Coturnix japonica: one gene and its partners. The protein of the gene in region 3 interacts with the protein of the main gene of each other region in a pairwise test. Links are inferred from orthologs where the notes say so. Each region holds a gene or a part of one and is shown on either strand. Other genes may lie near its edges.

Evidence for each region.
Region 1: the proteins of NECAB2 (region 3) and EHHADH interact in binary tests that used the Homo sapiens proteins (3 or more experiments, as listed by UniProt). The two-hybrid records come from large-scale screens. The link is inferred for Coturnix japonica from reciprocal best matches to the Homo sapiens genes NECAB2 and EHHADH.
Region 2: the proteins of NECAB2 (region 3) and TEX11 interact in binary tests that used the Homo sapiens proteins (3 or more experiments, as listed by UniProt). The two-hybrid records come from large-scale screens. The link is inferred for Coturnix japonica from reciprocal best matches to the Homo sapiens genes NECAB2 and TEX11.
Region 4: the proteins of NECAB2 (region 3) and CCDC146 interact in binary tests that used the Homo sapiens proteins (3 or more experiments, as listed by UniProt). The two-hybrid records come from large-scale screens. The link is inferred for Coturnix japonica from reciprocal best matches to the Homo sapiens genes NECAB2 and CCDC146.
Region 5: the proteins of NECAB2 (region 3) and NEK6 interact in binary tests that used the Homo sapiens proteins (3 or more experiments, as listed by UniProt). The link is inferred for Coturnix japonica from reciprocal best matches to the Homo sapiens genes NECAB2 and NEK6.
Region 6: the proteins of NECAB2 (region 3) and ISCU interact in binary tests that used the Homo sapiens proteins (3 or more experiments, as listed by UniProt). The two-hybrid records come from large-scale screens. The link is inferred for Coturnix japonica from reciprocal best matches to the Homo sapiens genes NECAB2 and ISCU.

What each region holds. Positions count from the first base shown.
Region 1 is NC_029524.1:2,549,662-2,554,500, reverse strand, and holds the end of EHHADH (peroxisomal bifunctional enzyme), read left to right. Parts: intron 1-1,695; coding exon 1,696-2,966; 3' UTR 2,967-4,086; downstream 4,087-4,839. UniProt on the Homo sapiens protein: Peroxisomal trifunctional enzyme possessing 2-enoyl-CoA hydratase, 3-hydroxyacyl-CoA dehydrogenase, and delta 3, delta 2-enoyl-CoA isomerase activities. Catalyzes two of the four reactions of the long chain fatty acids peroxisomal beta-oxidation pathway.
Region 2 is NC_029519.1:2,409,028-2,413,575, reverse strand, and holds part of TEX11 (testis-expressed protein 11), read right to left. Parts: intron 4,192-4,548; coding exon 4,054-4,191; intron 3,736-4,053; coding exon 3,633-3,735; intron 2,510-3,632; coding exon 2,385-2,509; intron 1,663-2,384; coding exon 1,577-1,662; intron 1,240-1,576; coding exon 1,192-1,239; intron 981-1,191; coding exon 940-980; intron 639-939; coding exon 552-638; intron 1-551. UniProt on the Homo sapiens protein: Regulator of crossing-over during meiosis. Involved in initiation and/or maintenance of chromosome synapsis and formation of crossovers.
Region 3 is NC_029526.1:121,974-127,014, forward strand, and holds the start of NECAB2 (N-terminal EF-hand calcium-binding protein 2), read left to right. Parts: upstream 1-1,713; 5' UTR 1,714-1,760; coding exon 1,761-1,955; intron 1,956-5,041. UniProt on the Homo sapiens protein: May act as a signaling scaffold protein that senses intracellular calcium.
Region 4 is NC_029516.1:11,449,780-11,454,327, reverse strand, and holds part of CCDC146 (coiled-coil domain-containing protein 146), read left to right. Parts: intron 1-1,018; coding exon 1,019-1,114; intron 1,115-1,625; coding exon 1,626-1,796; intron 1,797-2,933; coding exon 2,934-3,022; intron 3,023-3,116; coding exon 3,117-3,281; intron 3,282-4,548. UniProt on the Homo sapiens protein: Essential for sperm flagellum biogenesis and male fertility.
Region 5 is NC_029532.1:7,821,827-7,826,374, forward strand, and holds part of NEK6 (serine/threonine-protein kinase Nek6), read left to right. Parts: intron 1-1,802; coding exon 1,803-1,927; intron 1,928-4,548. UniProt on the Homo sapiens protein: Protein kinase which plays an important role in mitotic cell cycle progression. Required for chromosome segregation at metaphase-anaphase transition, robust mitotic spindle formation and cytokinesis.
Region 6 is NC_029530.1:5,667,931-5,673,160, reverse strand, and holds ISCU (iron-sulfur cluster assembly enzyme ISCU, mitochondrial), read right to left. Parts: upstream 3,353-5,230; 5' UTR 3,341-3,352; coding exon 3,254-3,340; intron 3,178-3,253; coding exon 3,064-3,177; intron 2,731-3,063; coding exon 2,620-2,730; intron 1,898-2,619; coding exon 1,819-1,897; intron 1,603-1,818; coding exon 1,511-1,602; 3' UTR 1,060-1,510; downstream 1-1,059. Other genes in the region: SART3 (squamous cell carcinoma antigen recognized by T-cells 3), read left to right, coding at 3,650-3,817, 5,056-5,182.

The DNA of each region.
Region 1 (4,839 bases), on a different chromosome or scaffold from region 3:
TTTGCTTTTCAGTCAGCAAACCATGAACAATTAACTGTTAAGAAATGATTCATGTTATATGACTTCTATTTTCAAATTAATTTTCAGCAGCGTCTGATAATGAAGTAACAGATCTAATTTCCCATAAAGGAACTTCAGCATTTGCTTGGCAGTGAAATCGTTTGTAAGCAAGCTTCCAGATAGTGATATCCATAAGAAATATGTTCTTAAAGCTAAGCAGGTAGTGTTTTAAATGACTTCTGTGTACACGAGTTTAGCATAGGCAGAACTGAAGCAAGGCTGTGTGGCTTGCAGGAAAAATACACTACCTCATTTGACCTTCATTGTTGGTACTTGTTTAACTGATGACATAATTTCAGCTCTTCTCTATAAAGCTGCTTTAGACAAAAATGTTAATCCCTTTGTTTCGGTTTATTTGTTTAGCTGAATTTAATTTGTAAACCAAGGATTAAAAAAATAATATTAATCGTTTTTACAGAATTATAACAGACCTGGCCTTTGCATAGTTGTTCCTTTCTTTAGGATATTCATAATCCTCCCATTTGAGTGCTTTGCAGTTTTAAAGCTGGTAAAATTGCGCTGGCTTTCTCACTAGTTTGTATTAGCTCTGTCCACAAAGCCTCCATTGTAGGAGAATAGAATAAGTAGCGTGGGCTGGGTATCATAGGAGAGTGTAAGCACGCAGCTTCACTTAATGTAACAGAGGGCTGAGCCAGGGGAAGGGCTCAAAAGGAGGGAAAGTATCAAGGCAGTAATGTCAGCAGTGTTATTTCTCAGGGTGTGGGCTGGTCGTAGCACATTTGTGGATCTCAGAGGAAAAAAAATACAGCTTAAATGGGTGATTGGTTGTGGACAAGAGTGTGGTTAGACAAGGGAGGCTGTATCTTTAGTAATCCTCAAAAGTTAGGAATGGCCCTTATCAGAGGACTTGGATTGCCCCCCGTTGGCAGAGATGTACAATACAAAGCGTGAACAGCAAGCAAGATGTTCAGGGTAAGAGCACAGTGTCAGTTCCATGCCTGAACTGATGATGAGTGATATAGGAGACATGAAAGTCGAGATCAGACTCTTCTGAGATGCCTTAAAGAAAGAGCAGCTGAATTTGTGTTCACATCAAAGATTACGCAATGAAACGCAGGGTGAGACGAACAAGAAGCTTGCAAGGAAGAGGAAGAAACCAACTGTCTGAGCTTTTCTGGTGTCAAAATATCTGTGTGGGGTGGCTTTGCTTGCAGAGGTGTTCATCTGTGAGTGCCCATGAGGGGCCATCTCAAAAGGACCAGAGAGGCACTGGTGTCCTCAGGATGAAGCTGCCAGAAATAGTGTTGGTCTTCTGTCTTCACTCCCCAAGTTCTAACTATTAAGTGATGCTGGTTTCCATAGGGATAAAACTTTGCAAGGACAAGACATGAATTCATGTGGTCCACACACACCCCTGTGAATCCCGTTGGTATTTTGTAACCTTGAGAAGACACCAGTTTGCCTTTATGCTATTGCTCTTCAGACACTGAGGCTCCCTGAAAGAGAGACTTAACCTTCCTTTTTCTGAGTCTTCAGTTCTTTCTTTCTGCCTGTGCATTTTGCTTAAGCTTCTGCTTTTTATCTTGGAAATACTGAAGGAAGTGCTGCTGTCAAGTGACTGATTGTAACATTTTCTATTTGTAGTTTCTGATTCTATCTCACTTTTCTCTCCAGGGCTTGGAACAATGGGCCGAGGCATCGTGACTTCTCTGGTTAAAGCCAAGATACCTGTGGTAGGCCTGGAGCAGGATCTGGAGTATCTGAACACAGGAAGAAAAGCCGTGATGCTCCTTTTGGAACGTGAGGCTATGAAAATGGAGCAGGGTGCCCAAACCCTGGATTTCCATAACCCTGCACGACTCCAGTTCACCGTGGACTTTGATGTGTTGAGGGATGTAGATCTAGTTATTGAAGCTGTGTTTGAGAACATGGCACTAAAGAAGGAAATATTCAACAAGCTATCAAGAATCTGCAAGCCAGAGGCCTTTCTGTGTACAAACACATCAGCCCTGAATATCGATGAAATAGCTTCTGTCACCAACCGCCCACAGCAAGTCATTGGCACACACTTCTTCTCCCCTGCTCATGTGATGAGGCTATTAGAAATAATCTATGGCCGTCACACGTCCCCCACCACCATTGCCACGGCCATGCAGCTAGCCAAAGTGATGAAGAAAGTTGGAGTGGTGGTAGGGAACTGTTTTGGGTTTGTTGGGAACCGAATGATGTTTCCATATACACAACAGGCAGTTTTCCTTTTAGAGGAAGGAAGCAGACCAGAAGACGTAGATCGGGTTCTTGAAGATTTTGGATTTAAGATAGGGCCTTTCCGAATGTCTGATCTTGCTGGGCTGGATGTGGGCTGGAGGTCTCGAAAGGACCAGGGCCTTACTGGGCCCTCACTGGCTCCAGGAACACCCGCCCGCCAGCGGCGTGGTTATCGCTACAGCCCACTGCCTGACCTTCTGTGTGAGAAAGGCAGGTTTGGCCAGAAGACTGGAAAAGGCTGGTATCAGTATGAGAAGGCTGGGGGTAGGATATCCAAACCAGACCCATGGATTCACAGCTTTCTGTCTGAGTACAGGGACACCCATCAAATCAAGACCCGCTTTATAGACCAGGAGGAAATCCTGGAGCGTTGCTTGTTTGCTCTTATCAGTGAAGGATTTGACATCCTGGCGGAGGGAATAGCGTCAGGCCCAGAACACCTTGATGTAATTTATATCAATGGTTATGGATGGCCAAAGCACAGGGGTGGCCCCATGTTCTACGCTTCCACTGTTGGGCTCCCTAACATTCTGGCTAAGCTGCAAAAATACTCTGAGATGCACCCTGATGTTCCCCAGCTACGTCCCAGTGCCTTTCTGAAAAAGTTGGTGGCTATGGGGAACCCTCCTCTCAATGACTGGATGTCCTACCTACACAGGCAGAGCAACAAGCTGTGATTTCACTGATACCTGCTATAGAAATTCCTTGGAGGTTGATCTCATGAAACAGCTGCTGCAATTGCACTTTTCCAATCAGAACCAAAGTGCTACAGGCTGATAAAAAATGTCAATTACCTTCCTAGGTGAGCCTGATCTCTGTCTCACCTTGCTGCAGGCAACCACTGCCATCGCCCACCCTTGCCTCTTGCCACCAGCTTCACCCACCTTCTTGGCACACTGCTGTGTATAAATGCATTTCATTCTCCTCTGCACTTAATTCTTGAGAGCAGTGCATCTCTTCCAGTCTTTCTTTGTAGAAGGGACAGAACAACACATGGCCCTCAAAGCAAATCACAGTGGGAGGGGAGAGCAAGATGGTCACCGTTCACCCAGGATCAGCTGGACCTACCAGATCCTGGCCTAAGTCTGTTTTCCAGTTTGTTCAGACCTTCCTTCTCCCTGCAGTGCAGTTTCCTCCACCCCAGATTACTTGGCAGTCCCAGATGCAGCCAGTTGGAGCCTCCTCCCTTCACACTGCTGGGGGAGAGCTGGCACATTTCAGAGGTAAATTCAAAGGTATTGGTGAGAGCAGCTTCGGAGAGAGAGCAGGGGGCAGGGCTGGTACTATCACCTGCTCCCTGCTGCCGAAAAAGATTCTAATAAATGACACAAAAGCCACATATGCATCAACCTGACTAACCTGCACTGTGCTGTTGGCTCATGACTGGCATTCTGCATCCAGACTCCATCCTCCTTTATCATCCACCTGGCTTTGTCCAGGCAGAAACATCTTCTGGCATCTCTTAAGTGCGGCTTTGCTTTGCTGTCACTCCCCCTATCTTGCCTGCCTGTGGCTACCTAATTGATCTAATTGACCAGACTGAAACCTGGCCTGGCACTTATCGGGTTTTTCCTTGCACAGAGGGCGTGCTGAGAAGAGCAGGGCTCGAGAGCTGGGCGGGCAGACTTCCAGCAGAGAGCAGAGCAGGAGTGAGCTAGAGCTCTTCCATGCTTTGAGCAAAGTCACCTATTGCTCACGTCTAGTGAATTTATCTTTTAGGTTGGTGTCCTCAGGAAGATTTACACTGAATGTCTAATTGTTGCTTTCTGTTTTAATAAAACCATTTTGATTATCTAATGACGGATTACTGGGTATCGTAAAGCAGAAGATGGAAAATGTGTTTGTTCTTTATACCTCCATTGCTTCTCTATGTGGCAGAACTCAATACACTCCCTGTTTGTGAAGGAGTTCATGCTGGAAGTGGTTGCATTCCACTGTTTTCTATACGTAGCTTCTTGTGCCTTTTATCCACTCTTGCCCCAGTGCAAAACTGGGGTCAGGAAACCCTCCAGAAGCCAGAACCTATTTCTTTGTTCAAGGGAGGATTTTCCTCCAGCACCAGAGAAAGCAATAACTCTTAGGTGCTGAAAACTGCTGCATTCCCCCCCCCCCATCACTTGCGTGTCACAGCTGAGTGCAATCCAGCATTTGCTCAAAGGTGAAGCGCTGCTTCCACGCGCGTGGGCTCCGCGTGACATGTTACACAACAGCACTGCTGCTGCTGGCGGCTGTCACGTCACTGGGCAGGACAGCTCTGGACGTGCTGTGCTCTACCCTCTCCTGGGCCTCCTGCCATGGGGTTCATTCGTACCAGAGATGGGTTAGAGAAGGGCATTGCCCTTGCAGCAGGAGTGGGCTGAGGAGGGGCGGGCATGTCCTTTATCTGCCTGAGAGATGGTAGTTTCTGGGTATCAAGCCCCGCCAGCATCAGCCTTGTGGCCAAAACATCTCACCTACAGCACCTCCGTACATCCAACATGCCCAGCCCCCTTCCCATCTCCCCTCGAGGAAATTACTGAGAACAGAGGCCATTGGCACTCATAATGCCTC
Region 2 (4,548 bases), on a different chromosome or scaffold from region 3:
AAATACTGACTGGGATTCCCAGGACAAGTAATTAAACAGAACCACAATCCCATCGTTCACTACTGATGGAAGCACATTCACCTTTCTAATGCTGATTTAATCTTCCTAACAACATGCATACTCAGTATTTGTTGCTATTTTTTATTGCCCCTTAGCAGTACATTTTTCAGACCCTAAAGAAAATCATTGTTAGTTTCTATTTGTGTAATCTTGCATTTGACTTCAGTAACATAATCTTGGTAGCAAAGGGCTAAGCAGGAGAAAATATATGAGCCCTGCATAGCTGTATCATGGGCACATACAGCTCCTGTGGTAAAGAGCAGTATTAACTACCCCATCAGTCACATAGACCTCATGCAAGTATTTGAGTTAAAATATGAGCTATACCAGGCAGTTTCAGAAGACAAAAAATGCAACAGATCATTTAAAGCAGAGACTGCCAAAGGTGACTCCTTTCATAATACTGAATCTTCAAATACTTCCTCTTTCCTTAGGATCAGGCTAAATGGAAGTGGAGGTGATTCAGTTTAGATCTTAAGAGTGCAGCTTACCAACTTTTCTAAACCAGTGGGCTTCTGAAGTTCTTACATCTCTCGTCAAATTCTCTTCTGTGAAAGGTTCAGCAAGTCTCTGTTGAGCTGCAGAAAACATGTTGTTTAGGTGACAGGCTGCATTTTCTAAGCAGAATACAAACATTTCCAAGTCCAATACCTACATTACAAATACCATTTTCCCAAAGCTCCCATGTAATCCCTGATGGAGGGTTATTCTCACAACTTACATCTAATATGATTGACCCCCAAAGCTTAGAAAAAAACATTAGAATGGCTAGTATAGGAAATTTCAGTATAGGGCTGAAATAAGGAGTCAGTATGGACCTAATCATATCATAAAACACATGGAGGAACTACAGAAAATATAAACACAACAAAAACATACCCAAGGTCAAATAAGTCAGCATTGACTTGATGTCTTCATCTCTAAAACAGAGGAAAAATCACGCTTTAGATAACATTTGATTAATTTTCTTACAATATTATCTTACATTATTGATGCAGGAAAACAACAGCTTTGTAATAACTGATATGATCACTGCTCTGACAAATATCAGGCATTATTTCAGAAGACAAAGCATACACTACATGTATAATTTATCTACCATAAGCATACATTTTTTACACACATACTCACCTTTTCTCTTCTTTTTCTACTTTTGACAACATAAGAGGAACCACAACTGTGAAGAAACAAGATTTTTTTTTCCAACAGTGTCCTTCACTCTCAGCTTTCAGAAAGGATCCCTCTTTCTTCCTTATGCCATCAGTTCCTATAGCTCACAAAGGAATGTGGTGTCAAGCTGAGAAGAATATTATTACCAAGTCATAAATCTTGGTGCTTGCATGGAAAAGACTTGAAATCTATACAAACACTAAGAGTCTGAGCCTGAGGTACATCCCCAGCACCAAAAGCACTGCTAACTAAGCTTTCATCTGCTCTCCACCTCCCTCAACAAAATCACTTTTGTTGGAAAGAGAAACCGGAGTTCTCTTTCCTTGTAAATATCTCAAACCCTTACTTTAAAGCTGCAAATACTTGTCGGCAGTCTTGTGAATGTTCAGACAGGTGCTCCAAAGCTCTGATGGCCACAACTTGTTGATCATTCTGAAAAACAAGTAAAGCACAATCTGTATGAAAGTGTACTTGCTCAGTTTCTGCAAAACAAAACAACGAATAAAAAAATAAATGGAGCAAAAGACCTACACAGAATTTCTCTCAGAGCTGAAAGAAAACCACAAGGAGGGATACCATTGCACATGCAAAGAGCCTAATGCAATATAGGATCAGTACAATTTGGGAAGGACTTCATGCCTTAGAATGCTCTACAGCCCTACAAAGCACCCAACAGCCTCTCCTGCAAATGCCACTGTCATCAGCCAGTTCAGGCATTGTTGTCACTGATCAGTGATCTCTTTATTGAGGCAAACAGAGGGACAAAAGTTTTTTCACTCCTTCATCATTCCCTTATGTAATTTTGCACAAAGGTTCCTCTAGCATTGCAAAGATAAAATCCCAGAGGTAGGAAGAAATGTAACATTTTGCTGAAGAGAATCTTACAGAAATATGCCACGGCATTTCTAGATATGAACATTTACAATTCAGAATCACTTCTTTTCCAGAAAATAACAGTTTATTCATACATGAAGTCGATTTCCACTTTGCTTTACACAATACATCTCAGAACATATAGTGAGACTTTGTTCACACAAGCATTAAATACTTCAAAGTGCATGAAATAGAAACACTAAAAGTCGGCCAGGTTACAGATGTTACAGCTGTCCTACTTGTAGAATAAGGCAAAATAAGGACAGTGTTATCTGTTCTACCTCTAAAGCAATGTGGGCAGCCAAACTCAGGAGGTTTGTGCTTGTATTTTCATCCACTATCAGCTTGTCTTCATGTTGAGGTGGCTTTTCTGCTAGCTTCCCCATTTCAATAATTGCTTCCACAGCTGAAATACACATAGAGAAAAATCAATCATTGGGCTCTTTGTTTGGTTGGGTTTTTCTTTCATGGAAGCAACGGGAAGGTGTAAAGTTCCACTGTTTTAATAAGGCAACTTATCAAAGGCTGTCATTTTATTTTCTAATAGGAAAAAGAAAGACAAGAAACCCTGACCATACGAGCAGCTCTCCACAACTACGCATTTCTTCCCAGAGGGGCCAATAAGGCATTCTAAGCTCCTCATCTAAGGAAACAAGGATGCCACACAAACAAAACTGCATCTCACATATTCTTAATTTTGCTCTGCTAAACGTCTTTTTGTCACAGAAGACTTTCTTTAATACACTGTCTGGGCAGGCTTCCAAGCTCCCACATCTTGGTTCATGTTAAGGCTGCTGCTGCTTTTATGCTCCTACTGTGCTGTAGTTCCCACTCTGTATTATATGAGCAAATTAGGCTGTCAGTTAAAAGACATAGAGAATAATTAATCAGCACAGAACTCATTGAAGAGTAAGATCTGTGTGTTACTCTGTATTCTAGTTAAGTATATAGACTATATTTCTCAATTCTGATTATTTGAGCTGGGATTCTCATTAAAATATGAAACGGCAGAAGAAAGAGTCTACAGACATATGTCATTCTGTAAGTCATCTCAGTCAGCTCGTTTATTTTCTGGTAACTTCAGGCTCTGCTTGACCAGAGAAATCAAGAGAGGTGATAATGGTTCAGCTAAAGTTCATCTAACTCTGAAGCACTTTTCCAGCTGTACATACTTATAAAAGAACATTAGAAATAGCAAGGCTACAGTGATTCTCATCCTGGGATGCTGCTCTAGTTTTGCCCACAAGATTAGAAAATTCCTAGACAAAGACTTCATCTGGACAATATTCCGGGTGTGAGAACAGACTCCACATGTTACATGCTATGTGTAAAAAAACATCCCCCTCTGACAGCTCAAAATCTACAGCCTGTTGGTTTCAGTGATTTTATAGACCCTTCTCTAGACCCTTCTCTTATCTTCTCCCTATTGTGTCTTTCCCAGAACTAACAGTCCACGTCTGCTGAGTATTATCTACAACTCTCAACACTTCTGATCATGGTAGCGGACCCTTTTGTCTATCAAGTTCTACCTTTATCAGTATCATTCTCCATCACTGCAATCTTATAGACACTGAACTGAGTAAAGATGCTGTTTGGATCACATCTTTCTGCTTCTTTAACTGCCTCTTTAGCCTATACACAGGAGAGATAGGAATTCAGTGCAATGTTGCAATAGAAGAGAGCTTAAAATTGTAATGGTTTCATTATAGATGTTTATACAATTACTGTACAAGTTTGCTTTGGCAACAATCCCCTCTCCCCAGAAAGAAAAGCAATCAGAGCAGAAGATAACACCAAGGGCAGACAATGACTAGAGAAAGCAATTCCTCAATTAGAGCCACAGAATTAGAAAGCAGGAGAAGCCCTGAGAATGCTGAAAGATTAAACTTGTAAGTTAAGTCCAAATGATCTAGCTACAAACACGAAAGCAATGTAATTAAATATATATACCTTGTCAATTTGTTTCAGATGAAGATAACAAGAAGCCATATTTCTCTGCAACTTAGCCAGATTCTGATCTATCTGCCCAGGTGTATAGAAGCTGACAGAATAGTTGTACCAGTTAAGAGCTTCAGAATAGCTTTTTGCCTAGGAAATTAAAAAATAAAAGGAGGAGGCATGATAGTTTGCAAAAATTAAACAAAACCATCATAGGAAATAAAAGATTCAGATAGTCAAGTACATTCTAGTGTAGTCTTTTTTTCCCAGAAGAGTGGTCAATGATCCCAGAGCACAGGCATATGAGTTAGGAGAACAGATATTTTACCTATTCCTGCTCTTCCACTACAGATGTCTCAGTGTAAGGAATATTCTAAGGTTTTTGCACTCTTCCCAGGGCACAGCCAGAAAGGTGAACTGCACAGGTTCTGTGGCTGATCCATTCTGGTATTAACTGTTCCAGTTTACAGACCTGGAGAAGAACCTACCTGAAGCCTGATGTTTTAA
Region 3 (5,041 bases):
CAACAGTCCTGATGTTGCTTTGCAATAACCACAGCACAGTGCAGGGACTAACAGGGCACTGCAGGCTCCCGCTGTGCTCCTGCACCTGTATAGGGTGTCAGTTCTGCTCTACCAGATTCCCCTCTTAGTGGGGTTGCTGATTCCTCCTCCCAGTCCTGAGCAGCCAGATCAGTCCCAGCAGCCATTAACAAGCATCAGCAATCTCAGCTGGCATTTTGCTGGAAGGTTTTCATTATCTCAGACCCCTGTGGTGTGGAGAGGGTCATGAGAGCAGCACTCAGAGTACACACGGGTGCTGCCTTCTGCTCTGCCTTGGCTGTGGCAGGAGCCTGGAGACCTCTGGCACCACACCTGGTGCTGAGGCTGTATCTTGCTGTCCCAGCTCATAATTAACATTTGCTGCTTCCACTTCGAGTGGCTGAATTTTTTTCCAGTCTAGATTCACTAAGGAAGAAAAATGAGTATTTAAATGAGGTAAAGCTGGTTTTGACATTAGCAGGAAAAGATCTGTACAAAAGAAGAGAAATAGCCTCAGACTTCTGAACAGAGCAATGAATCTTTAGAGCAAATGGAAACAAATGAAAATCTAAAGAACTTTGCTTATGAAATTAGGCAGCAAAGAGCATACAGCAATGCCAGGCTGCTGTGTGATTAGCACAGCTTGACTGACCCATTTAGCAGACAGATGTCTAAAGGAGAAAGAAGTGTTGCATATTATACAGGGATTGCAAAACCATGAAAAAGCTGCTGTCATTTGGGGCCTGAAAACTATGGACCAGTAGCTGGTTCATGAGCCTGCCAGGGCATGCCATGCCTTGGATTATATTTGCTGGGAGATGTGAAGGGGATCTGAGTGGTGCCAGCAATTTTCTGTCCGTTCTCTGGGGAACAGGCATGGGGCCCAGTGGCAAACTGCAGTGCTCACAAGGGCTGGGCTGACACCAAGTCCCCACGAGTACCTGGAGACCCCAGTGAGGGTTCCAAGCCCCCTGTCCCAGTGCATCCCTGTGTCTGAGCTCACATGGAAGCACCTTGCTCTCTCCAGCCCCTGAAAGGAGGTTGTCGTGGGGTGGAGTTCAGCCTCTGCTCCCAGGTAACAGTTATAGGATGAAAGGTGGTGGCCTTAAGTTCTGCCAGAGTAGGTTCAGGTTGAATATGAGAAACAATTTCTTCTCCCAAAGAGCAGCGAGGCAGTGGCACAGCTGCCTAGGGCGTGGGGGAGTCACCATCCCTGGAGGTGTCCCAGAGCCATGGGGATGTGGCACTGAGGGATGCAGGCAATGGTCATGGTGGGGGTGGGCTGGGGTTGAACTTGGGGATCTGAGAGGTCTTCTCCAACATTAATGACTCTTATTCTATGATTCTACAATCTTAGTTTTGCAGGACATATCCACAGGAAGATAAATGAACACAAGTGTACCAGCAGTGAACATCTTTGTGAAACAGAACGATATGGGATTAGGAATCTTCGGCTGAGCATCACGCTTAGCTCTGCAGCCACAGATGCTGCGTTGCCCCAGATGACATCCCTGGCATTCTGGGCCGTGGGATCAGAACCAATTCTTGGTTTCCTAGCAAGAATTCTGAAGAGCTGCTCTGGGAGGGAGTTGAGGGGTGTGCTGGGACCCCCACCCCAAAATCTGCGGGCAGGGCAGAGCGAGGAGGCAGGAACCCGCCCCTGGCCGCGATGCGGAGGAGGAGGACGAGAAGGAGGAGGAGGAGGGGGGAGTCCGGGCTCCGGCACGAGGCCGGGCGGAGCGATGTGCGAGCAGGCGGCGCGGTATTGCCGGGCCGGTGTGCACAGGCTGCTGCGGAAGCCGGCGCCGGCGCTGCGCGGGCTGGACGGGCTGCTGCGCTGGGTCGGGGCCAGGATGAGCGACAAGGGCGTCGCCGACAGGGAGCTGCTCAGCTCGGGAGCCTCCGCGCAGAGGAAGGGCACCTCCGTCATCCTCGATGTGAGTGGTCCCGAGGTCCCTCAGTTGGGGTCAGGCATTCCCTTAGCGCGGGTCCTGCAAGCCCACGGGAGTGCACGGGGATTCCTGCAGCCCTCCTGCATCACGCACCCCCCGACCGGCTTGGTATTGGGGTTATTTCTCGGTTCTGCATCTCATTGCATGAGTCCTGCATCTCCTTGCATGAGTCCTGCATCCGTGGCTGGCAGCGGATAAGTGCAGTCCGGCTCCTACCCCGAAGCAGGTAGGAATAGGGTGCGGCTTGGTTCTCCATCTCCCGGACCCGTTAAGCATAGGGTTGCAGCCCAGACCCCACGTCCCCTTGCCTGGGCTCTGCACCCCTGTTCTGGCTGGATATGGGGTCCTGAACTCTGGGAGCAATTTAGGATTGGAATTATTCCCTGGGTCCTGCACCCCATGGGTTCGCTGGGGGTGCACATGCAGCATGTATGCCCGTTCTGCTCATCCCCCAGTCTGGCTGGGCTCCTGCATCCTCTAGACTGTCCGAGCAAGGGAGTACCTCCTTGGGTCCTGCACCCCCTTTCCCAAGTCCTGCCCCAACACCTGGGTATGGGAGTGTATCCTTAGTCCTTAACTTGGGGATGTAAGACTCCGAAGTAACACAAATTACTTGCAGGAAGGTCCCCTGGACTCCCTAGGTTTTGCAGCGCACCCTGGCTCCTGCACCTCAGTACCTGACGAGGCTGCAGCATGGTACTGTCTGCCTGTGGGTGCATCATCCCCAGGGTTCCCCTACCAGGGTCTGGGTGAACTCACAAGGGTGTGCCTTGTACCTCCACTCAGTATTTATAGGCTTCCTGATTAGTGGGCTGGTGAGGTTACTTGTGCTTAAATACATTAGGAGAATAGAATGAAATAACTGGCATGCAAATGGTGTAATTACACAGCTTTTCTGGCTGCAGCATCTAGCAATTAAACACATGCATCCTCAGCTCTGCTTTAAAAATAAAATGTAGTGAATGCATAAATAAGGTCCAGAGGCAGTGGCAGTAGTGAAGGATAACTTCGTGCTCTCTTAGCCCCTTCAGCATCAGGCAGCCAGAGCTCTGCCAGGCAAGCCCTTGTGTTTTCCTGGCCATTTGTAAGTGCTGGCATGGGTTGGTGAGTCTGAAACTCATCCTATATGTGAACACCATAGGCTGCTAGGCATTCCAGTTCCCTGGATGAACCAACTCAGCTGTGTCTATTGGGCAGCCAAAAGCCGAGGTGAGAGCAGAATGCTGATGGATGGTCATGCCTGGAGAAACTTAAAATGAGAAATGAAATACCCCTATGATTTTCTGTGTCAATTTTTTCTCTTATTTTATTTTATTTTTTTTTTTTTCTGCCCTGCTGAAATCTTACAGCAGTGTGGGCTTGGAAGCATAAGTGTAATGGGGGGAGCAATGTTAATTAGATACCTACAGATTCTTGAGTTAGGGTTGTGCTCCCAAAATAGAAACCAAAAACGGTACCTTATCTGTTCAACTTCACTGTCTTTAAGTGGATTTTTTATTCTACTTTGAGCTGAGAAAATGAGCCCTTTGCTTTTGAATGGTTCTGCCATTGGGACCTAGAGCAGTGCAGCTCCTCAGCCCATTTCCCCGTCACAGTGGAACTGGAGCCGTTTCTTACCTGCTGGAAAGAGAAGTGGGTTCTGTAAGTGTAAAGTTTGAGGGCTTGTGGTGTTTTGTTTTTTTCTGTTCTCCTCCTTTAGAACATGCTTCTCCCTTTTCTCCAGCTATAATAGAAACTTCAGTTTAAGTTGTGGCTTTACCATAACTGGCTCTTCAAGGGCATTGTGAAAGCAAGCTTTAACAACTGGGAAAATATGCATTTGGGTTAATTTTCACAAGGTAGCCAAAGGTAACAAAGATTCCACTGTAATCCTCAGGTCTTTCCAATTAGCTCATGCAGCTTCCATGCTGTGTGTGCATGTGGGAGAAACAGTTTGGGCTCCTCAGGGGATGGAGGAAGAGCCCTGGCAGATTCTGTGTTTAAATAACATCCTCATGAGTTGAGATGAGGATTAAGCTTGGTTTGGTTATGAATTGCTCAAGGTGGTTCTGATGCTAATAACATGCTGGTCACTTCTTCCTCATCTGTTCTGGATTTCTTTAGACTCAACATCAAAGAGTTAGTTCTGACTCTTCTGGGCCATGAGGGCAGTGATGGGTCAGTGAGAACTTTCCTGCTCCCTTTGCGTCCAAGAAACAAAATCAGGATGTTGTGGAGTGAAACCAAGTGCTGAGAAAGGAGGTCCAAGGGGAGCAGATGTCTTCTGCCATCAGCCTGGCTGCTGTTGCTTCAGGGATAAATCCCAGCTTAGGGATGTCTCCAGTATTTTCCTTTATTTTTCTTGTGTCCTTCTAGGTAAAAGTTGAATAATGTTTAATAGTTTGGCTCAAACTGTGCTAAAGCTGTCAAATGGCGAAAACCTGGTAACAGTCTAATGAGGAAGACATTTAAGTTGTCAGCATTTCTTGAAGCTTTCAGCAGTGAAATCAGGAGTGAGAGATGCTCCTGAGTGCTAGTGGCAAATGGAGCAGGAGTGGTGCTCAGTGGTGAGCTCACACGGTGTCACAATATCCAGGGTTTCATCTCGGTGCTTGCATCCCACGATGAGATTGCACACTGCTGCCCTGTGATCAGGAGCCCCAAACTCAGACTGACAGCATACAGACTGCTGGAGATGAATGAAGTCTATACATAGCTTCTGAGACAAGGTTTTATATATCTGTTTATATATGTTTATATAGAATTACAGAATCATTAAGGTTGGAAAAGACCTCTCAGATCCCCAGATCCCTCCTAGCCACCCCCACCATACCCACTAACCACGTCCCTCAGTGCCACATCTCCATGTGTCTTTAACACCTCCAGGGATGGTGACGCCATCACCTGCATGGGCAGCATTTCAGCTGTCTCAACCCTGTAGTGATGCACGGGGTTGTTCTGACTGAAGTGCAGTACCTGGCACTTGGTCTTGTTAAAGCTCATACAGTTGGCCTTAGCCCATTGATACAGCTTATCCAGATCCCAGGGCCTTCCTACACCCATACAGACCAACACTTCCCCTCATCTTGGTG
Region 4 (4,548 bases), on a different chromosome or scaffold from region 3:
AAATCGCATAAACACTTCCTTCAACTTTTTTCTTCTCAGTAAGTGTTTTTCTTCTCAGTAAGTTGTGAAAGGTCAGCTATTGCTAAAGTGACATTCTGTGTGAAAGAGAACTGGAGGCCCTGGCTGGGCTGCTGCTCTTCTCCCTGGCTGTGTCTCCTGCTGCCAAAAGCACCAAACTTGAATCTTGTCTGATGCCGACAAAAGCCCTGAATGGATGAAAGATGTCGGTATGAGCTTTCTGCTTTCAGACTCAAGAGCCTGATGGCACCTTTAGAATCTCATCTTGGAAATGTGGAAATGTGCATCTACATCCACCACAGCCAGGAGTGTGCAGCAGAAGTGGTAACAGTGCAGCAGAAGTGGAAACCGATGTACGCTCTGCAGAAATGCTGTGTTGGCTCCCTCCATGAGAGTGAAAGCAATTTGCTTGGTGTGGGTTACGTTGACCTTTTAGCAAATCTAAGTCAGATCCGACCTGTCCCAGAGCTGGCATCAACAAGCAAATAACCTCAGAGCTTGACCTTTACCACACCACGTTAACTTTTCCTTTAGTGCAAGTGAACAGTATCTAGTTTTATAATATTACCACTGAATTGAAAATCATGAGTGCAGAACATGTCCCTGTCTGTGTGAAGGTTTTCTAACATCTGGCTGTGATCTGAGAAAGGTACCACGGTGCTGTAAGGCCAAAAAACCCAGTGCCTCACATGTCCGCCTGAACTTCCTGGAGCTTCAGGAGGAAACGGGAAAATCCTTCATAACTTAAAGGCAAAAACATAACACTTATACATGCCGTTACTTCAACTGGGCTTTGTAATGTTTAAGAAAACGTTCAGAAACTTGGACATGTTGCTGAGGACTTCTACTTAACTACCACAGCGGTTCTTGGATTAAGAGTTGTAAGACAGAAAAATAATCATTTCATTGTGTGTATAAGTAACTGAAATAGATTTTCTGCATTTCCCATTTTTCACACCTCTCGTTGTCATCATTCAGAATGCCTGATTTATTTTTGTAGGCAGAAGCTATCCCCAGAATTAATGCAGTATTACTAGAAAGAAGACGAGAACTGCAGAAGGAAATTGATATGAAAAAGAGATGTTTAGCTGAACAGGTGATGAGTTCTTCATTCTCATATTAATTCCCTGTAATGGTTGGTTTTCTGTCATGAGAATAAAGGAAACAATATTTGAACTGACCAGCAGGACAGCACAAATCATGGAAGTTCCCTGAATAAACTCTCCTTTGAACTACAGCAAAGACTCGGGAAAGTCCAAATCTTGATTTCAGAATTACCACATCTCTTTGAGGTTCTTAGCATAGAAGGTGTTTTCCAAACCTTTTGTAACACAGTTTATTGCACGCTCTGATTCTGTTGCTTTTATATTCAGCAGCTGGAAGTGCTGCTGGATGGAGGAACAGAAACTTTGCATGTGCTAAAATATTTTGATGTTACTATGAGATCATGTGTGGTGCTTCAGATGGTATTTTTAAAGTCAGCTTTATTATTCATTTATTTTTAAATCCGTGCGGTTCTATATAGGCATGCTTTGTAAATAACACCAAAGTGTTTCAAACGTTGGGTTTTCCAACACTGATAATACATCAGCACTGATTTCCTTCAGGAGATGATATCAGACACGGATGCCCGCACATTAGAGGAATGCATTGCTGAAGAAGGCCGGTTGTTCAAGGAGCAGGAAAAACGCCGCGATGAGTTATCCAGACTCGCACGTCTGACTTGGCTCAAAGTTGAAGAGAAGGAACAGAAATCGAGGGAATTTCAGAAAGTCCAGGTACAATAAATCTCACATAATTGAAAGTCTGCTCTAAAGCAAAAGTTCCTATATGAAGAAAATAAATCACTGATGAGAGGAACCTCACAGACTCTCATTTCCCATTTTACCTCAAAGTTCCATCGCAAACATTCATCACAGCTGTCCTTGTTCATTGCAAAGGAGTTGGATCTTTAAAGAGATGAGCTTTAAAGGTCCCTTTCAACTCCAAGGATTTTATGATTAACACAGGAAGCTCATAATACACTGTTAGTTTGGTGGCAATTTATAGTGACATATAACAGTGCATTGAAATATCATGCTACAGTTGAACTAAGGTGTTTGAAAGGACTTTTTCTTTCAAGCCTACAGGATAAAATGAACAACCATGGAAGAGGCAGAAATGCAGATAGCCTCAGCTGAGGTCCTTGGAAGTACAAGAAGGTTGTTTTGTTTTGCAAACATTGACATCAGAACTATTCACTCGAAGGAGAGACACCAATTCTTATTTTCCTGATACACTTCAATACATAAATCAGTCTATTTATTTGAAGGAAGGGGGAAAACTTCCCTGTTCTTCTGGCTAAATATCGAGAACAGACTATTTACACTTCCACAACGTATGTCTGCCTTAAAATAAATTGGACGGCTACCCTTATAGTATGCTGTGAATTTCTGACTGTCTATAGAAATAGATTACAAGGAGCAGTTCAGGCTTTGCAAATTCAATAAAAATAAGTCCATAAACAGACAAAACCATTAAGAATATAATTTTGTTAACAAACACTCCAGCCTAGAACTGCAACCAGACATCCACCAGCTTCTCTAATGGCCATATTGTCCTCTTGATATCAGTGGGAGATGAGAGAAGGTTTGTCCACTGAATGTAAGGCACACAAACTAGTAAGGACTGAACAGAACTGAAATCCCTATTGAAATGTAAGTGTTCTGTGCTACTCAATCACCAGAGACTGCTGAGAAGGCAGAGAAAGTTTTTTTAAAAGTGTTATTACAGTAAAAGCATCTCACTGTAATTAGGATAATTTTTTTGAAGAATTTTGACCGTATTTTTCTCATCTAAAAGAGCTGTTCTGTTTCGCTTTGAAAATATTGCTTTGAAAAATCTAAAGCGCTTACTGAATTCTATTTAAATTTCAGATGCAGTTTCAAAATATTATTAGAGAACTAAAAAGAAAGGATCTTGAAATAGAACAGCATAAAAAGAGGAAAAGAAGAGTTCAAAAACAGTAAGAAAACAATTACACATTAGATAAAGTTATTCTCATCCAGATAATGTGTGCATAAACTTGTAAGAATTATTTCTTTCACACTTCTCTTCAGACTCCGAGGAGCTGCTAAGATTTGTGAAGTAATCAAAAATGAAAGGAATAAGTGTATACATTTGCTTAATATTGCTCAGCAGAAAACTACTGAAATTAAAGAGCAGATAAAAGTAAAAGCAAGTGAAAGTGAAACTTTAAGGAATACTCTTATGACCCAAGAAAGGTGAGTTTTAACTAAGCTGTAAATCACAGAGACAGAAATGGGAAAGATTTCTTAGAAAGAATCCTATTCACAGTTACTACCCTGATTTTTAAAACCTGATCCAAACAAAGAAATACTGCAGCACCCTCACAGAACCTGCTCCATTCCTAACAATTTACAACTAGTTTGGGCATCACTGCATGGGAAGGAAGTGCTTTTGAAGTTTGTCTGCCCTCTTCCTCATTTTCCTTTTCTTTCAAGTGAAAAACTGTCTTTATACTTCATTCGTATAACTGTTCTAAAGCCTCAAGCATCTGAATATGAACAACTGTTGTACCCATCCTTTGGCAAAAAGAGTTCCAACCCACACACAACTCCACTACAGACTGGATGGTACCAGTAAATGAGTCGCTAGCTAGTAATATGGCCAATTAATTATTAAATTAGAACTGAGTTTCTTGTTTCAAACTCAAATTGTATTCTGTTGGATAATATTTATTTCAGATCAAGCAAAACACAGTTTCAAATTCTAGGCAGTCCTCATCAAAATGAAAGCTTACACTGACAGCAAAGAGGATAACAAGGTGCAGCTGGTGTTTGCGATTCTGTTTTTTCCTTCATTGTTACTTAGTGGAGATGCCTTTTTGCCATCTTTTTGTCATCCTAATGGTGATTTTCTGCTTCGCATATATAGACAGTGACAGTATAGCTGAAATTAGTAGTTGGGAAAGCAGGAAACTAGGAAAGGGTTAAAACTGTAAGCAAAACAGTGCAGTCAAAACTACGTTTACAAATAATTTGTTTTGCACAAAACTTTGCTTTCTGGTGCCAAAAGAAAAACTGCACAACCAGATGTAAGACTGCAATCAGGATAAATTCAATCTATATACATAGTGAATCTCCATGTGCCTTGACTTTGGAGCCATGCTGGAGCAAGTTGGAAAAGAGGTGGAGCTTGATGGACTGAAGTGATTCTGAGGACGTGCATTTTGTGCTCAATTTTTTGAGGCCTTCCCAATAAATTACTTGTGAGAGGAAGAGGAAAAAAGAAACAAAAGGGTAAAAATCCATCATGGTATCCCTGACTGAACTGCAAACTACTCGCTTTGGAAGACAGAGTACCGGTTTGAAAGTTTATTTCATATTCCATTTAATAATTAAAAATAAAAATAAAAAATGCTGCATTTCTCCTATACCTCCATTCTGTCATTCTGAGACTTGATTGACAAAAGCGGAAACGAACCAGAAAGAATCTCACAGCTTTGCTCAGAGTAATTCAGCCGCCTCA
Region 5 (4,548 bases), on a different chromosome or scaffold from region 3:
CTTGCTGCAGAAATTCTTCTGCATCGTATTTTCTCTCCCCGTTCATCCCCCCCCCACCCCAAAATATTTAAAATACCTTTGCATTTTAAATTAAGAATTAGTCATTGCTCAGATGCCAGTCGTGCACTATTAATACACTAATGAGATCAGGTTGTGCTCTCGCTGAGTGAATACTTGCCAGAACTCTTGAAACAAAGTACTGAAAATGCTGGGGCTGCCACTAAATGTTTCCTTGTTAGTGCTAGGGACTGCAGCAATGCAGCTTTTAAGTGGATCTCCCCTAGGACACGTGTGGATGGTGAATATTTAGCTTGAAATAACATTCCTTAGTCACACAAAAAATCTACAGCATCCTATTGGATGGGAATGGACATCAGTGTGGCTGCTGTGCATGTGCTGTATATGTGGGGAGTGCATTTCTGGGCTGGCAGTGCTCCCAGGTCTGGGTCCTTTCTTTTCAATACAGCTCAACATCCATGCAGTGTTGTCATGCTGAGGAATAATGTGCTCTGGTGGAGGTACAGGATGCAATGCCAGGGGTTTGTGTTACAGGTGCTGGATTTCACAGCTCTCCACTGTGCTGTCCACAGCATGAGTGAGGTTGCATTTCAATCTGTGTCCTGACTCATATCTCCACAAGTTAGACCTTTATGCATAAAATGGAGAGGTTGGTCTCTATAAGGTATGAAGGGTGAAGTCAGAGTGAAGTTGGTGAGCTTTAAGCCTGATAGTTCTGTGGGATTCTTATATCTCGTGCTATGGCCTTTTGCTGTGTGATGCAGCTGTAATGCAGAGCACTCCAGTTCCCATGTCCTCAGCAGTGGCCTTCTCATGCTTTCAGATGTGGACCTGTGGAGTGTGTACTTGTGCTCAAGCACTGTCTGTCTCTGAGTAGCACCTGGGCATTGTTTTGCTCTTCCATGTGAATTGAGATGTGTCAGCTCCCACATCTCTCTGTTGAGTCTGTAACAAAATAGATGGTAAGCTGGGATTCATAGTTAATAAGTGCATAAGAATTGGAAGTTTAGGGTATTTTCTGTGTTTGAATGATGTATTACCATCTCTGGAAGAACACACACAGAGTTGGATTCATGTTGAACATAAGGTATAATGTACTGCAGGACATTAGAAGATGCAGACCCTAAACCAGAACTTAACTAACATGATGCAGGGTAAAGCATGCCTTCTCCTTGCCCTGCGTGTGCCTCGTTGATTGCGCATGCCTCAGATTATCAAAGTGCTTTAAATGCTTTAGAAGCAAGCAGTGTGTGTCTGCTTGGAAATTTTCCAGGGCTGGGTACCACTGTGCTCCAGCACAGGGAATGTTCTGCTGGCTTGTAGCTTGCTCTGCTGGTTTGCAAGGACTGCTCTGGTGCTTTGGAACGGGCTGGAAGCTGGCACCACTGCAATCTACTGTGAGTTCCTGATGCCTAGCAAAGGTGTCTGCATTAGTGACACTGTTGTTAGATTCCATACTCAAGTCTTTTGTAGTGCACCTGAGAGCGAATAAAGTGCTGTATTTTGTCTTATGAATTGACACCAATAGTATTTGTGATACAGCTGTCCTTGCCCTTTACCCTCGGGAGCACTGTCTCAGCTCGCCCTGTTGCTGTGCTCCCTCCACTTGTGTGCAGACATGCTTGCACTTGGGTTTGTCTTCTGGCAGCTGCTGCTCGGGGCAGTTGGCGCTGCTTTGCTCTGGTTTGGGGAATTACACACGTTAGAGGAGGGCTGCAGGGGATGGACGGTGTCCCAGTGCTCATTCCCATGAAGTGTGTGCTGATGGCTCTCTCTGCTCACAGCCCGCAGGTCCAGCAGCGCTTGGCATGTGGGCATGGAGGGGCAGCACGAGCACCCGCAGCATCTGGGGGACCAGACCAGCGCCCTTTGCAAGCTGCCAGGCCAGGACTTCCAGCACGACCCACAGGTGAGCATGGCCAGCCCTCACCTTCCCTTCTCTGCCCTTCTTTCCTCAAAGACCTCTGCGGTTCTGAGCCCTGTGGCTGTTTACTCCTCTGTTAATAGCCAAGGTATATCCAGTTTGGGATGCTGCCTGCCAACCAGTCTCCTGGATCCAATTTTTGATGATGATAAGAGAAAAAGGAAACAGTTTAAATTTTGCTTAGTTCAAGTATTCTTTAAGCAGCCTGTAAATACATGTTTTGCGTTGGCTTTCTCTGCTCTTTGATTTTTTTAAAGAAAAGGCTGAAGAAAAGCATTTGTTTGAGTGTAAACAAATAATATTTTATTTCCTTGCATACTTTGATAATAAGTGCTGAAGAGGTAGTTACAGAATACCAGATAAAGTTCATTCTGTGTCAAGGCTCAGTGACTCTGTATTCAGAGAGCTTCTGGAAGGTTTCTGCCCCATTGTGTTGGGTGGATTCTGTTTCCATCCTGCCTGGCAGTGGTTCCCCTTCTCTTCCCTCCTTCTGTACAGCAGAGAGCCCCGACCTGCTGCCTGGGTGCTCTGGCCTTGCAGCCAGCAGTGCTTGTGGCTCCTGGGGCAAATAAGGGCTGCTGAGAAAGCTGTGCCTTGTGCCCAGTGCAGGGTTTGCAGTGATGATGAGTTGCCTGCACGTACAGCAGTGAATGTATCCCACACAGCACTGCTTGGAAAATACATCGTATGGAGCAAAGCCCCCCTTTCCTAATGTAGCAATTTGTCATATTAAGTCACTTAATAATAATTGAATCCCCTTGATTAATCTCCTAGAATTAGCCAGTTGCATTTTGAGCAATTAGGGTTAATTACTGCCTCATTTGGCAGGATAGAGCCCCTGTAATTATTTCATGAACAAGATTAGGAAGTGTTCCTGTGTAGCAGATACGTTCATGGCATCTTGGAGCACATGTTAGAATTTGTAATGACATAGTTAAATGTAATTAGTAGCTAGTAATCTGCGTGCTGCTGTTGTGCTGATGCTGAGTGGGCTCATTTTGCCGCATGGTCACCGTGCAGTGAAACCTCCCCTCAAGGCTGTGAGCAGCCAGGTTGTAGTGGTGGGACTCCTGCAGTAAATTGTCTGTCTGGAGAAGGATTAGAACTGTAGGGAGACTTGCTTAGATTTTGTTGTTGTTTGTTTTAAAAGAAGCAGTAAGTGTGGTTTAGAAATAAGCATGAGTTGTCACGCTCACAGGGCAGGCCCATGTCTGGTGTTGGCATAGGATGACCTGTTACGTTCCATTCAGCAGCAGAGGCTCTTTGGTTTTTCCAAATTGCTTTGCTTATTTCCATGTTACTGTGAATTTCTCTCTCTCCTTGTCATGAACTACTACAAAGAGCTGTCGATGGAGATGGTAAAACTTTGACATTCAAGCCAAGTTCTTCAGCAAACTTTAACTTGTGGGTAACATTTGAGGTGAAGGACACCTCATGCTGTAGTGCAGTCTGGTTTTGAAGCCACAAAATGCAAAACCTGATGTATTCTTCAGTAATTACTTGACTGCCTGCTTGAAGGATAATCCATATTTTAAAAGTTTCCTCATCTCTTGTGAGCTCAGAAGTTCTTTTTTTAATCAGTCTGCTCTAAAGTGTTCTCATAAATTCACACTGGAATTTCAGCCTCAAAGTATCTGAAATTCTTTTCAGGTGAGCATTACTGAGTGGAGATGGGTGTACAATTTGGGACATCGTAAAGAGGCTCTGGAATGCTGCTGCTGATAGTAAATCATTGCCTATAATGTATACGTGTTCAGCTGTAGGGGCTACAGCTTCTCCATCTCCTATCACAGATGTCTTTTAAAGGTGAAATTAGTTTACGGTAAATGTCATTCAGATGAAGTATGCACTTTAGAAGCAAGGAAACAGTTGCTTTAAAATTAATGATGCATTGCAAATATCAGAAAAAAAACTTATATCCTGCATAAAGATAATTAAAATTCAGGTCAGAGCTGTATGACTTCGTCAGGCTAAATTTTTTAATGAGATTTCAGAAAATTAATTGGGCGAGTATGTTTTTTACTCTTCTAAAGAGTATTTCATTGCATGGCTTTACAGGAAAGAAGCTTTTATTAGTATTGGAAGGCTGCAGCATCTGACTTTTAACTGTTGATTTACTGATTCTTAACAATTTTAGCTTGACTAAAAATACTGGAAGCCTTGGTGCAGCCTTGTAGTGCCCACAGACTGCTGAGCAGTGCCAGTTTTCCACACAGCAGTCAAACTGCAGCAAAGCAATTGAACATATCATTAATTGTTGTTAATGCTCGGGGTTTACTCCTTGAGCACTGGGCAGGGGCCATTTCTATGTATTTTTGGGCTGGTGTTCTCTTGCACCCCTCCAGGAACAGCAGTCCCACAGGGGCTGCAGCATGCTGGCTTGGTTCTGTTTCATCTCTTGGTGCTGTGCTTTGCTTAAAGCACCAGTAGTGGCTGGAGGGAGGGCTCTCAGGATTGCTCCAGTTTCCCCCAGTGTTCAAATAATAACAGAGGGGTAAATGTATTGGTCTCATGTTTGCAAGAGCAGAGGGGTTGCGGCTCTGCCCTCTTCTCTGTGTGTTTGAGTGAGGAGGGCCAGGTAAGTCACCGAGCATTGCTGTGTATCG
Region 6 (5,230 bases), on a different chromosome or scaffold from region 3:
AATAATTACATTGCAGACAGAAACCAGAACGAGCCACTTATTTTTACTGAATGTTGTTTTTAATGCAGCTGTGCAACATCATAGGTATGAAAACTGGAAAGGAAGATAGGGTGGGGCGTGGGGTGAGGATGTTATAAGAGCAAGGGAGGTTTTTAAGTGCATTTTCTTTTGATTTGAAGATCTGTGGCAACACTCCCTTGGAAAACAGCCATCGCTGTGAGGCACAGGGGAGCACAGTGGTCTAAAGAACAGAGGGTAAGCCATGCTGTGTGGCCATAAAACGCCTGTTTTGAACTGACTCTGTGCCCCACGCTCCCAAGGAGCCCAGCTCATGTGGTGGGTGGGCAAATCCTCCACTTGGTGAGTGCTACCCCTGTGCTCTCTTCATAACTCACTCCTCCAGCGAAGCAGTTTGAGCAGCTTTAGCTGTGCACACAGAGCTGCTCGGGGGAGGTATCTGCCAGGCTGTGTTTTTGAGGTTTCTTTCCACAAATGAAGAGAATCCAGCCCTAAAACTACCAAAGGCAACAACAGAAGCTATCAGAAATAGCATCCAAAATCAGCTCCAGCAGCAGGTAAGGATCCCCTTCTGCCCCTGGCTTAGTACCAAGAGCACTGGCTGCTCTCTCTGCCCTGGAAGGGATGGGGGAAGTTCAGAAGACACCCCCAGAGGGCACAGGCTGACTCCTGCTCTTCCAGGGAGGTTCCCCTCAGTATTACATCCCAGTTAAGCTATTTGCATTCTGGGTTTGAATCCTCAGCGTGTGTTTAATCTCCCTTAACAGTATTTGGCAAACTAAAGGGTTGAATGCTTTTAAAAGATGCTCCAACATTAACCCTCCTGCTATTGGAGGATGTGAACACAAACATGTCCTGCTAACGCTGCTGGCTCTGAGCTTCCTGGCAACCAACTGCAGCTGCTGTTATTTGCTCACCTCCCACAGTCAGTGCCCTCTAGTGCCTGGTGAAGCATCCCAGCTCCTCCCAGAGAGCAGCGTGACGCAGGGGATAGACAGCATGTGAGAGGTCACAGATTGTGAAACCAAACTCCAACACAGCTGCAGCCAAACCACATGAGATTTATATATACTGTATTGATTGACAAAGTGACCCACATAAAGACCAAGGCAACCAAGTTTCCCACCAAACTCTTTGTAAAACATTAGGCAAAACTATACAGAAGAAAAAAAGTGCAGCCCTTCCAATGCTGGAACAGGAGGATTCTTTCTCTCTTGAGAAGCTACCGGGGGGTTGCCCTGAAGCAGAGCAGCCCTTCACTCTCACCATTTCAAAACCAATCCTGACAGGACACAGGCTGCTGAAATACCCACGTTCCAGTCATTTAAGCACTACCAGGGTGGCTGTACACACATGACCAGTGACACGTTGTGCGTTGAGTTGTGCGTATCTTACAGCTTCTTGAGTAGTGCACAGGATTCTATTAACAGCTAGAATAATTGCACTGCAAATTGAACTGGAATGAGGACAACCTCTACAGTCTGTTTAGGAATTAGTCTGCTTTCTGCTCTGACTCTCCTTTCTTTGGATCCTGTTTCAGTTTGTAGTCAGCCAAGGCAGCCTTGATTGCATCCTCAGCCAGCACTAGGGGAGAAAAAGAGCACAAAACAATGTCATTTACAAGCACTTTAAATAACAGTGACAAGTCACTTAGAACAAAAGATGCAGTACAAGCAGAAGCAGCCAGCAATAACCACCACTGTGGGTCAGCCTTAGCTGCTATGTGTGCAAAGCTTTATTTGGAGAACGTACAAAAGCATCTGTGTTCTCAAATAACAACGTGTTTGATGCTTTACTTACTAGAGCAATGCAGTTTGACCGGAGGAAGGCAAAGTTCTTTTGCAATGTCTGTGTTCTTGATTTTCAATGCTTCATCAATCTGAAATGTATGGGTAGGGTACAGTCATCAGTCAGGCATACACATGTACATATGATGCCCACACACCACGCAGGTATTTGATACAGGTGTGCTTCAAAGCACTGGAACCAACCAAAGTCACGCTCTGAGAAGGCAGTAAAAGCTGCTGATAGTGTTCTACCATAAGAAAGGCCTTTCAATAATACCTGTTTTATTCTGCTCCTGCCAAGCAACAAATCTGCAACCTACTACAGGGAACCTCCTTTGGCAGAGGAGCTGGACTAGGTGATACTCAGAGGTCCATTTCAACCCCTGATTCTATGAAATATAAGGAATGTCTCAAAGTGTGCAGTGCTTGTTAATAAACCAGAGCATTATTTTACTGCTGACCAACTGCAGGGACTGTTCCAGGTTTGTTCTGCTGTAATATAGAAACAACCTGCTTGTCACAATGCCAAGCACACGGAGATCAGCCAATGGAAGACATTCCACTATACAAGTGCTTTCTTTATCTATTTTCGATTGCTGTGTAGCACCCAAAGCTTCTTCACAGCTTATTGGAGACTTCCAGAAAAGGCAAATATTGCTTTAAAAGTCAGGAAAGATGAAACTGCATTCTGAGCTTCTATGTGAGTGTAACACCTGGAGAGCACCTCTCTAGACCCCTGTTTCCTTCCCTGATCCCAGCAGTGGGTGTGAATATGTACCTGCTCCCCACTGTGCCCCTTAAGCCAAGCCCTTACCGTCTTCCCTTTCACCCACTCTGTTGCCAAGGAGCTGGAAGCGATGGCAGAACCACAACCGAAGGTTTTGAAGCGAGCATCAACAATGCGGCCGTTCTCATCCACTTCCACCTGTGGGAGTTATCAGAGGGGCGCTCAGTTCCACGTAGGAACCACACACAAAGGGACAGCGATAGGACAGCGAGTTTAAGGCTGGGGGTTTATCGGATTTTAGGGCCTGCAGAGGGACTTTAAGGGACAATGAGTTTAAGGCTGGGGGTCTATTGGATTTTAGGATCTGCAGAGGGGCGTAAAGGGACAGCGAGTTTAAGGCTGGGGGTCTATTGGATTTTAGGGCCTGCAGAGGGGCTTAAAGGGGGTGTGACGGAGGAATCCTATGTCACAGCCATATGGTGGCAGACACTGATGGTTGTGTCCTTACAGGGCACCCCGTGCTCCCCTCACCTGCAGCTTCATAACGTCTCCACAGGCCGGGGCTCCCACCAGGCCCGTACCCACGTTCTTTGCGTTGCGATCGAGAGAGCCCACGTTCCGCGGGTTCTCGTAGTGATCCACCACCTGCGAGAACAACGTGTCACTAACAACCCCCAACGGGCACTATGGGCTCCCCACAGCCCTACCCGGCCCCTCTCACCTTCTTGTGGTAGCCCGCCCCCCCCACCGCCGTCGCCCCCCGCCCGGGCCGCAGCAGCGCCGCCCCCGCCGCCCTCAGCGCCGCCATCTTGAGTCTGCCCGCACCTGGCAGCGGCGCTCTGCCCCAACCCTCCCGAAGGACCCCTGGAGGCCGAGGCCCTGAGGTGTCCGTGGCGCTGCCTCTGCAGCAGACTAAATTATAAGGAGTAACGGGCCGAGCTGCTCGGCTTTTCGTGGCAGTTGGACGCGGAGAAGAGCAGAACCTTGTCGGGAGAGTTTATCGTCCTTTCTTTCACCGCTTTTGGCTGGGGGGAATGTACAATATTGAGACAGGCGCGCAGTAGCCAACCCCATCGGCTGGCTGAGAGCGGCCGGCAGCGAGGCGAGCTGCAACAAGATGGCGGCGGCGGGAGCCGAGGCGGCGGTGGAGGAGGAGAAGCGTGTGGTGGAGGGAGACCCCGAGTCGGGGGGGGATTCGGAGGATGAAGGCGACTCGGATTCATCAGGAGACGGCGAGGATGAGGAGAAGGAGAACGAGGCGGAGATCCAGCGGCTGGAGGAGCAGGTGGGGCCCGGCTGTACCGTGCTTTGGTTATGGAGATCTGGAAACGCCTCCGGGCGTGATGCCTTTTAATTCGCTTTTTATTCCTCGCTTCAGGGCGAGAGAGACTCAGGGAGCAGCCCTGGTATGTTGAAAGTGAACTCAGATGGTGGTTTCCTTAGTGATCTTGAAGGAATTAAAACGCGTTTGCTGAGGAGGGCTCACTGGGTGTTAGCGCTGTGTCTGTACTTGGGGGCTCTCGGGCCTTAGGGCTGTGAGTTCAGTCTTCTGCAGAACTTTAAAGCCCAGCTTTAGTAACAGGGATCTTCTATGAAGGGCTGCAGAGGTGGTCGGGGCCTGCAGCTTCTATTTGAGGAGCCCTGAGGCTGCCCTTGAGGCAGGAGGGAAGGCTGAGGGAGCAGCACTTGTCAGGGTAGAAATCGTGAAGATGGGGCCAGGTTCTTTTCAGCCATGCCCAGCTACACGATAAGGGGCAGTGGGCACAAACTGGAACCCAGGAAGTTCTATCTGAACGTGAGAAATAACTTCTTCGCTGTGAAGTTGACAGAGCCCTGACACAAGCTGCCCAGGGAGGTGGTGGAGTTTCTTTCTTTAGAGATGCTCAGGATCCACTGGGATGCTTTCTAATGCTACCTGCTGGGGGGAGGGTTGGACTGAGGGATCCTCAGAGGACTTTGCCTTTTCCTGTCACTTACAGTTCTGTGATTCTGTGTAACTGAGCAGGGAGGTGAATGTCTGTCTGTACTTGGCCCTGGTGAAGGCAAGGCATCTTAAGTGCTGCGTTTAATTTACTCACTACAGAAGAAAGGCATCAAGGCCCTGGAGCATGTCTGGAGTAGGGCAGCAGAGCTGTAAAGGGTTTGGAGTACGAGCTATATGGGGAGAGGTTGAGGGAGCTGGGGATCACAGAATTGTAGGATGGTTCTCCACTACTCCCTGAAAAGAGGTTGTAGCAGGGTGGGAGTTGCTCTCTTCTCCCATATAACAGCGATGGGACAAGAGGCAAAGGCCTTAAGTTATACCAGGGGAGGTTCTTGTTGAGTATTGGGAATGACTGCTTCTTCAAAAGAGCAGTCAGGAATTGAGACAAGCTGTCCAGGGAGGTGGTGGGATCACCATCCCTGGAGGTGTTCAAGAACTGCAGGGATGTGACACATAGAAAACAGTGTGTAAAGTTCTGTTCTGCTGAGTATTTGCTGACTTCTGCAAGCCTTTAAAAACTTCCTTTATTTTCTTTAAAGCTTTCCATCAATGCTTTTGACTACAATTGCCACTTGGATCTGATAAAGCTGCTCCGCCAAGAGGGAGAGCTGGTGAAGCTCAGAAGAGCTCGGCAGAAGATGAGTGAACTCTTCCCACTTACTGAAGGTACAGAGCTGCTTCTCCTTGCAGCTGGTAATACTGATGAAGCATCAT